Linked DNA regions of Yarrowia lipolytica. The protein of the gene in region 2 interacts with the protein of the main gene of each other region in a pairwise test. Links are inferred from orthologs where the notes say so. Each region holds a gene or a part of one and is shown on either strand. Other genes may lie near its edges.

Region 1 (5,377 bases), on a different chromosome or scaffold from region 2:
ACCTCACCAGAATCGGATTTTCCCCATTTTTTTCATTTTCCCCATACCCTTACATCACCAGGACAACCCGGAAACCCCAGGGTATATGTGAAAAGGGTGGGAGAAAGTCGGCCACCCACGTCTTAGCTGCCAAGCAAAAGCGCCCAGAGCCCTTATACGAGAGATTAACATTCTCAATCGTACCAAATGAGTGTTGAATGAGACCAGATAGCAAAACAGTGTGAGATGGGCGAGATATGGAGATGGAGAATAGAAAAAGATGGGAAATCATGAATGGAGAGGGGAAGTTGAGATTCGTGTTTTTGATCCACTGTATGATATATCATGCTCTCCTATACTACGACCATACATTGCCCACCCTACAGTCTGAGTGGCTAATACAACACACTCTAACTGCAAGCTTAGTTTTCTCCCTTCTTTTTTTCACCCAGCCAAAAAGAGTCTGAAAGCGGAACTTGAGAGCGGAAGCAGTTGAGAGCGGGAGTCTGTCTATATCTCAAAGGTGCATTGCATCAGGAAAATGTCTACTGAGTTTCAGACAATGTCCCTCGTTCTATGAATCCATCATGTGATGCTTCTGACGCCCAATCACGCACAAACAATACATGTTACTGTTTTCTAATAACATCTATTACATCAATACAAGTACATGCTTATAATTAACCATGCAGCCGCTCAAACTCCTCAAGATTGGTGTACTTGTCCACCAGAGCAAGCTCGTGGGTCAAAGTCTCGTCTCGGAAGGCCAGACGCACATTGGGCACGTTTGTCTTCTGGATGGTGTTGCCCTCGGGGCCATGGATCTCGTAGTTTTCGCCGATCCAATGCTCCTTGATGATTCGCTCAAAGCCAGATTGCAGTACCGAGTTTCGAGCAAGCTCACACATATCCACGTTGGAAAGCTTGTAAATGAGCGCAGCCACAGAGTACTCCTCAATCAGAGCCTCCTTAGTGTAAGCAAACTGCAGAGGATCATCCGATGACAAGGACACGTTGAGACCCCGCTTGAAGTATGAGTAGAAGGGGTTCTTGTCGAACGTGAGGAACAGCGCATTGTTGGACACGGGAGACATGGCAATGGGGATCTGGTCCAGGTAGTAAAGGTACTGAATGAAGGGCACCTTTCGCAACAGAATACCGTGGTTGATACCCTGAGCAACCAGATAAGTGCACAGAAGATGCTCTGGGTCACCAGCCTCTCCAGCATGGGGTCGCAACTCAAAAGTATTATAGCCCAAACGCTGTCTCCAGGTGTTGATGGAGGCCATGTTGGCGTATAGATAGTACTGCCAGTACGAGTAGGGAGGGTTCTGTGCGCTGTCCCAGTATGCTGCAGTTGGGAACTTTCGGTGGAAACGTCGGTCCAGCTTCGACTCGTCATCGACAGAGTCAAAGCCCACAACTCGCTGCAGGAACACGTGCAGCTTGGGATGGGTACTGGGATCCTTGGTGACCTCGAAAAGAGGCTCAAAGACGTTCTGCACAATGTCGGCAAAGGTGTTAACCAGACCAGCCTTCTTGTAAATGTCGTACAGTCGAGGCACCTGGATCAACCACCGAACATTGGGCGAAAACAGTTTGTTGTCCAGCACCCAGGCAGCCAGCTTGTCCCACTCGTCCTTGGACCGACCGTAGATGGAAATACGGTACTCCGCCATCTGGTACTTCGAGTTCTCGAGATCCTGGAACACCTCCTTTGTGATCTCAGCTAGGTATCGACCCTGGATGTAGTTGTCGGTCTTTAGGAAGATTTCTCGCAGTCGAGACTCACCGACAGGGTTGTACTTGAGGTTGAACTTGTCAAATCGATGGAACGAGTCCTTGTGAGCATGCATATCAAGGGTATCGATAGACAGGTCGTAGGCAGTCAAGTTAAGTGACTCAAACACCTGGGAGAGTGTCAGCTCCCGACCGTCTCGGTGGATGACAACTTCATCAGGGCAGTTCTTCATCTTGTATTTGATGAATCGCAGCAGATGCTTCTGGTTCATGCAGGCAGAGTGGTGAACGTGGGTGTCGACCTTTCGTACGTTGTAAAAGTCTCGATGGGGGTTGGTCTTGGACTCGGTTGTCTCCGTGTACTCGTTGAGCAGGTAGTAGAGGTTCCACTTGGCTTCTAGATATTGCAGTCGTCGGAAAGCAAAAGACTTGGCAGGTCCGTCAGACGAAGCCACAATGAGATCCTCCAGATCCATGTAGTAATCTCGGATTGAGGGGATGGCAACAAACGGCTTATTTTCGTTGAGAGAGCTTTCATCCTCATAGACCTGATAGACACAGGTAGGATCTCGCTTGAAGACCATGTCGTTGGGTCCGGGGATTTCGCAGTCCTCGAATTTGAATTCATCCATTGTCGGGTCTTTCTTTTGGTGCTCCTTTTTGGACGAGCCTCGGAATCGCTTTTCGGTCTCGTGCCAGGAGGGTGGTGGAGGCTCGGGGTAAATTTTCCAGTGCGTCTTGTCATCCTTGGGGTTGTCTCCGTCCTTCTGTAGCGACACGGTTTGGTACTTGTCTCGGAGGTCTCGGCAGTACTGCACCTTTTCGAACATCATGGACAGCTCCTGGGCCACAAGAGGATCTTCTGTGGTGGTGGTGATTTTGACGTCGTTGATGGACATGTTCTTCATGTCGTCCTTGGTGCGGGTGCGTTTGAGAGTAGGAGATATGGGCTTGCAGGTGTCTTTCTGGGTAGCATCATAGACAATGTCGTCTTCCGCAGATAGTCGGGCATCGTCATCGCTCTCGTAGGGCTCTTCTTCGAGCGATCCGGTCATGTTGAGCTGCTGGAGACCCTTGCTCAGCGAAGATCCAGACTTGGTTCTGTTTCTGTTGAACTTGCGTCCAGAAGCTCGAGACGACGATCGAGATCGAGTGGAAGATGCGTCATCGTCCTCTGGCTGTTGGTGGGTGTGGCTGGAGGGTGGGGGAGGGGGGTGGTTCATTTCGGCCCGCACAAATGACGAAGATCTGGACACGGGACTCTGAGAGTGCTGATGAGGCAGATGGCCATGAAGAGCTCTGTACTTGGCATCAACCTCGATGAGGTGGCGTTCTTCCGCGTAAGAGAAGTGGGTGGACGCAGATCGGCCCAGCATTCCCAGTTCTTCAAGCTCGTCTTCGTCGTCTTCGCAGCCCACGTAGCCAGCAATCTCGTCTGCTCCGTGAGGTCGAGGAGAGATGGGACCCACAAAATGCGAGTCCAGGTCGTCTTCTTCGGGCATGGGCACAGACTTGGCCTTGCCCTTGATATCCATTGCTTGCTGCGGCATGGTACAGAGGCAATGTCGTGATGGTGTAGTGTGGAGAGGAGCAAGATCAAACGAATTAGCGGGTCCTTCCAACGGCTCTATCTCCAACATGCACAGCAACGTAAACTTCATCAGGGTTTAAGCGACAGTAGCGAGTGCGATGGGGTACAAGTGCTATATGGCGCAAGTGTTTGTGGATTGAGAGCACTATTTATTTAGGGAGCTTTTTTGTATTCTGTAGATTGATACGTTAGTCACATGCTTGACTGCTTGGTAATGAATACCAGCCCCACAAGTTGTTCAGGGTGGAGCTCAGAGTCTGTCATCAATGCAGCACTGCTCCAGATGATAAGCTTTGGAGAAAATCCGATGGAAGATGGTGATGGAACAATGGGGCGTGTGGCGACGGCGGAGTTGGTATGGATGGGGCAACTATGTTGAAGGTGCATAGTCAGTAGCATTTCCGAGTTGACAAAAGTACAAGTAGCACAGCGAGAAGGAGATACGAGTATGTAGTCTAGTGTACTTCTACTGTAATAGTAAGCTGTCTAGAGACAGTAGCTCGCGTCAAAGTGAAACCCGACCAAGGAGATGCTTCGAAACTACAAACAGGGGTAGTCGGAGAGGAGGAAGGGGGAAAGAGGGGCTAATAACCTGGTGGATTCTGAAAATTGAGATTTTTTATAACGATAATATACCATGCTACATTATTCAGTGCATTCACTGGCTACTACGGACTTCAGAAAAGTGTTTCATACACCTGCATTCTCGCTTAAATCGGACTTGGCTTGAACCTTGACAGGACTAGTTCCTGATCAGTGAGTGGTACTTTCTTGGCACCACCCAGGGCTACTAAGTATAGATACATGCGACAATGTCTTCATTTCCTGTTCATCCCTTTCTGTGTTCAAAAAAATGATCCATAGATTCATCTTGTGGAAGCTATCGAGCAGGACAAGCGGCACGATTAAACTCCTATGATTTGCGTCAATTTAATTTCAGTATCTTCGACAGATGGATGTGGAAGTCGAGGCTATTGTATATGAGTATCAAGCTCTGTAGTCCGGTGAGCGCACTACTACATGTAATTCTTCTAAAACACGTTCTTATTATATTCCACCTAGTTCTGTAACAAGTGGCAACTAGGATCGATACCAAAGGGATGCTTGCAGACAACCTCTTCCAGTATTGGTGATATACCACTCATCAGTCTATCAAACTCATGTCTTATACCAAGAAAAAGAAACCAAATACCTATACTCTGCAGGCCTACAAGTTTACAAATGCAATCTCAATATCGGACTCCATGGTCCTGAATCTATTACAGTAACCCAGAGGTTCGGATTTTCGCATACTCCTCTCAAAACTAGATATACAGGTTTGGATAGCCCCATCCTCCTGTGAGGTTCGACTCCTACTCCTTCAGTGAAGTCTTTGCAGGCCTAAGATCAATTTCTCTGGCTCTTTGCTCTGTCTGTGTGTTCTGGCATTGGCACTTGTTGCTCTTGGACTTACTGGCTCTTTCTCAGATCAATTGCAGCTCCTACAGCCTGGCTCTGACTTATTGCTCTTTTGACCCTGCAACCGTCTGTCGATGCTGATTTTTGCTCTAGCAACTCAGCACTGGTGGCACTGGTCATCTGCTTTGCTCTTCAGTATCTAGGCGGCTCTCTCAAACCGGGACTCCACCTTCGAGTATGAAAAGGAGTATATCAACAGGGATTCTACCCTAGAGTCTCCCGTCGATAATCTGGCGACTTTTTTGTCCATTGCTCATGGAGTGTTTCAACTCATTAACGGTCAACCTCATGGACTTGACCCTGACACTTGGGGCTGTGTCCTTGTCGTGAAAGACTGTGCTTATCAGCTCGGCATTAAAGGCACCTTCCGTCTTCAGAGCGACTCATAGTGAACTGGTCTTGTTCTATGGAAACCCGGGGTCTGGAGAAGATGAATATAGTTCTTGTAAAGTTCGTCACCTTGCAAATAAATGGCACGGCATGCTGGTTCTTGTGTATAGATACGAAACGAAGAGAAGGACTTGGAATGAGGTGGACTAAAATATTACTGTAGATGGAATTGCAAGTTGGAAACGCCGGTTAATAACTTTAGATAACATCGGTCCAAGT
Region 2 (3,917 bases):
GTCAAGAGATAGCACTGATGGAAAGACGCCCCCCGGCGGCTCTCGAGCGGCCACCCCGACTCCTACAGACTCGTCACGTGCCCAGACGCCTGTGACGGTCGATACCGAGCTCAAGCTCGACTCGTGGCTACGGCTGGTGGAGATTCGGCCCGAGCAGCGGGAACGAATGGAGCAGGAAGAGCTTCAGGAGCTGGTCAACCAACTCAAGACGGCCAACTCCGAGGCCAAGCTGCTGCTCAAGCAATGGGAAGACAAGCTGGCGCTGGGATACAAGAACAAGGAGGCGTTTGAAGCTGTTGTGGAGAACATGGTCGGGTTTGCCCAGAAGCAGAGATTGAAGAAGGGCGGTAAGAAGAAGTGAACAGAGTGCCCCGTGAACGGAGTGAACAGAGGTTGGAATAACGAAAACAACAACTACGACAACGACTACGACAACGACAACGACAACGACAATGACCACGAATCAAATAGACAAATATTTATTGCATACTACACAACTGACGGTTGGAATGTCAGTAGATCTATCCAGGTGCTTGGATTTGCACCAGAAGACCAACAAGTTGGTCAACTGATCGTATGCCTTTAGATATGCTCGTATAGGCACTTGTAGATCCACCAATCTCCCTCAGTTTGTATTCAAAAAGTGCAACCAGTGGGTGCATTTGATTACGTCGCCATCTACGCGTCCAAAACGGTGCAAGGCAGTCGCACCAGTATGTGTGTTTACATATGCAATAAATATCATGTCTAATTAACGGGAACGGCACTGGCGCCAATCTCCTCCACCTTCTTGGGAGCCTCAACCGCAGGCCGAGGAATCACTTCGAGGTAGTTGGCCGGCACGTATCCGCTTCGGCCGTCCCGAGTTCGCACTCGCCACCATTGCGAGGGGTTGCCCATGGGGTCTGTCTTTGCGAGAACCGCCACCAGGTCGCCCTTTCGCAGCTCGAGCTCCAGCTGAGGGTTCTCGGGCACAAAGTCAAAGTTGGCCCGGCAGAACTCCAGCTTGGAAGGGTCGATTTCGGCGCCACCCTCCATACCAGGGCCGCCCATTCCCATCTGGGCACCAGGCAGCAGGTTGCCATGCTCATCGTACATGCCCTCCTGCTTGGCGGCCAGCGCCTTGATCAGCCGACCCAGCAGGTAAGGCAGACCAAAAACGGCCGTCAGGAAGAAGAGCAACGGCTTGTACGAGGGCCGGGGACCTCTTCCGGGACCCGCCGCTCCGCCAGTAGCCTCGAACTTGGCGAAACCGGCAGGAGTGATGCCGTTCGCACCGGTGACAGGCTGGCCAGACAGCTTTGCCACCAGCCGGCGGGCCCACCGCATGATGGCGTAGATGCCGAGCAGCGAGCCGAGGGTGTTTTTCAGGTTGCCAAACTGCTCTGCAACAGAGACCATGGCGAAGAAGGACGACTGGGTCGCCATGTAGGTGGACTCGAGCATCTGCGCGAATCCACCCACGGCTCCAACGATGCTTTCGATCAGCTGGAATGTGGCCTGGGTACCTCCTGCCAGACCGTTCTGACCCATGGGTCCGCCACCCATACCTCCGTATCCTCCGTATCCCCCCATGCCTCCGTACGAGCCGTAGCCTCCATATCGAGAGCCGTACATGCCTCCCATGCCGCCCATTCCTCCGTAAGATCCGTATCCACCGAGTCCCGAGCCGTAGCCGGAGCCATACGACGAACCCATGCCGTATGATGATCCGTAGCCGGAGCCATAAGACGAGCCCATGCCGCCATAGCCCGAGTTCATGCCTCCGTAGCCCGAGTTCATGCTAGAGCCCATAGGCGAGCTCAGGGCGTTGGAGGTAGAGCCCATGGCCGAGGGTCTAGACGGCAGTTCGGGGGCTCCAGTTGCGCTGCCGGCTGAAGACGACACGGCGTCTGTGGAGGCCGGGGTGGCTGTTGCCGCCGGTGTCGCGGTGGCTGCGGAAGAGCCAGAGGCGCCTTCCCATGGTTTTGGTCGTGGCACGCTCATGTTTGCCTTGTGTTGTGTTGTGTTGTGTAGTGTAGTGTTGTGTAGTGTTTTTGAGAGAGAGCTGTGTTTGTGTCGCTTGTGTCGCTGTCGTCGTAGCTGCTGTTTTTGTGTCGCTTGTCTACTGTAACTCGTAGTTTGAAGTGTCCCGTCGTCAGTTATAAAGACTGTGCAAATACAAGGGAGAAAGTTGTGGAGAGATTCGGAGGAGGGTGAACTCAAACGAAAGTGGTAGTTTAGGGTTTATACGTTGGATTTTGACATTGAGAACATTGTAGAACAGATGTCTCCAGAACGAGCTGCAGCGGTCCTAGAGAGAAGCCGGAACCTCTGTTGGGATCACGTGATCTTTATGGGTGATATTTCCGCGTGAAATCCCCCCTTTTCCACCTTCAACGCCTCCAAGAACTCCCTCTTTTCTCTCTACTTTTTCACAAGAGTGGGAAACCTTATTTTCATGCATGTTTTCCCCACGTTTACCTCGGCAAAAATCACGTTGGCGGGGTGCACCGTGTAGGGTAACTAACGGCCGTGCATACACCGAGGCGTTGGTTCGAGGCGCGGTCCAGCACTTTTGGACAGTTGGTGGTTTCTGTGCGAAATCGGGGAACTGGCCAATCAGGGGCGAGTCTTTTTTGCATGTTTCTTTTTCGGAAAATCCGATTTTGCTCTCCAAGCAACCCTAACTTTTTGCCACCAGTTTCAGAAGTTAGCACCGGATTATTTAAAAAAAAATTGAAAAATGGCGAAAAAAAAATGGAAAAAAAAAAACAGAGAAAAAAAAGAAGAAAAAAAAACCGGAAAATCGGAATGAGAGAATGTGAAGACAGTGACGTAGAAGATGGTGAAATACACAAGACGGTGAGGTACAAATTCACCTGAAGTCCCAGTACAAGGGTACACTCGTATTTGCACGTATAGAATTTATTTAATTAATTAATTAATTAATTAATTAATTAGTATGTCGGAGTTCGACTTGTGAATCAATGTACGGGTACAAGTACGAGTACTTGAAGTGATGAATGTCCTAATCTGTACAACCATTCTAGAGACTGTCGCATTCATGGCATCGGGCTCGGATTCTTCCAGCTCCTCCGTGGAGTCAGAAACCGCCATCTCTTCAGCAACATGAGGAGATGAAAGACTACCTGTAGTAATCACTCAAGATCCTGCAAACTGCAAGTTGGATCTAGGAGATTCTCGGCGCAATGTCTTCATCCCAGGCTTAGAGACTGGATCGGTAATCTGGTCTCTACTTGCTCCAAGACGCGTTTACATCCAACTCAAGAGCTAGGACGGAGAGGAATCAAGTTGATACCACTGTTTTGACACTGATATGGTTGCTCTTTTGGTCTTTGGACTCAGAAAACAGGTACTATGACGTCTGTCAACGGTGGAAGGAGAGCCTGGCACCGCATTGAGTTCCATTATCAAGTTCAAGGGTTGGAGCTTGGACGAGGGTCGGACAGGGGTTGGATTCAAATGCGCGAGGCGGTACTGTATGTACTGTACTGGAAGGTGTCAGGTCTCATGTCTCTCGTCTCTTCTACTTGTAGTCTTTCTTCTTCTCATACACGTCTAATACACGTTCCTGTTAATAATCCATTCTATTATAGTCGTAGCAGTTGGAGTCACTTGGGCATCTCGTTCCAATTCACTCAAATCCCCCCAAGTAACGGTCACTGCTTCGCATCTCGCAATGTTGAGCTCGTTAATGACCTCCAGTAGTAGGCAGACCGACCGACAGCTTGAAAGTATCGTAAATGAGCCACTGCATACCGGTCAGGGTACCAATCATGAAGATTCGCACCGGCAGACCGTTCCAAAGACCCTTGAAACCAATTCGCTTGTAGATTCGCTCCACGGTCTGCAGAGTGGACTCGCCGGGCTTCTGCTCACTGTTGACCTTGGAGACCATGACGTCGGCGGGGTGG

What was found.
Region 1: the proteins of YALI1_C07451g (region 2) and YALI1_E14316g interact in a two-hybrid assay, tested with the Saccharomyces cerevisiae proteins (2 studies listed by BioGRID). The link is inferred for Yarrowia lipolytica from reciprocal best matches to the Saccharomyces cerevisiae genes PEX13 and AMD1.

The regions. Positions count from the first base shown.
Region 1 is NC_090774.1:1,428,230-1,433,606, forward strand, and holds YALI1_E14316g (uncharacterized protein), read right to left. Parts: upstream 3,381-5,377; coding exon 660-3,380; downstream 1-659. UniProt on the Saccharomyces cerevisiae protein: AMP deaminase plays a critical role in energy metabolism.
Region 2 is NC_090772.1:743,205-747,121, reverse strand, and holds YALI1_C07451g (uncharacterized protein), read right to left. Parts: upstream 1,987-3,917; coding exon 748-1,986; downstream 1-747. Other genes in the region: YALI1_C07481g (uncharacterized protein), read left to right, coding at 1-361; YALI1_C07423g (uncharacterized protein), read right to left, coding at 3,695-3,917. UniProt on the Saccharomyces cerevisiae protein: Component of the PEX13-PEX14 docking complex, a translocon channel that specifically mediates the import of peroxisomal cargo proteins bound to PEX5 or PEX21 receptors.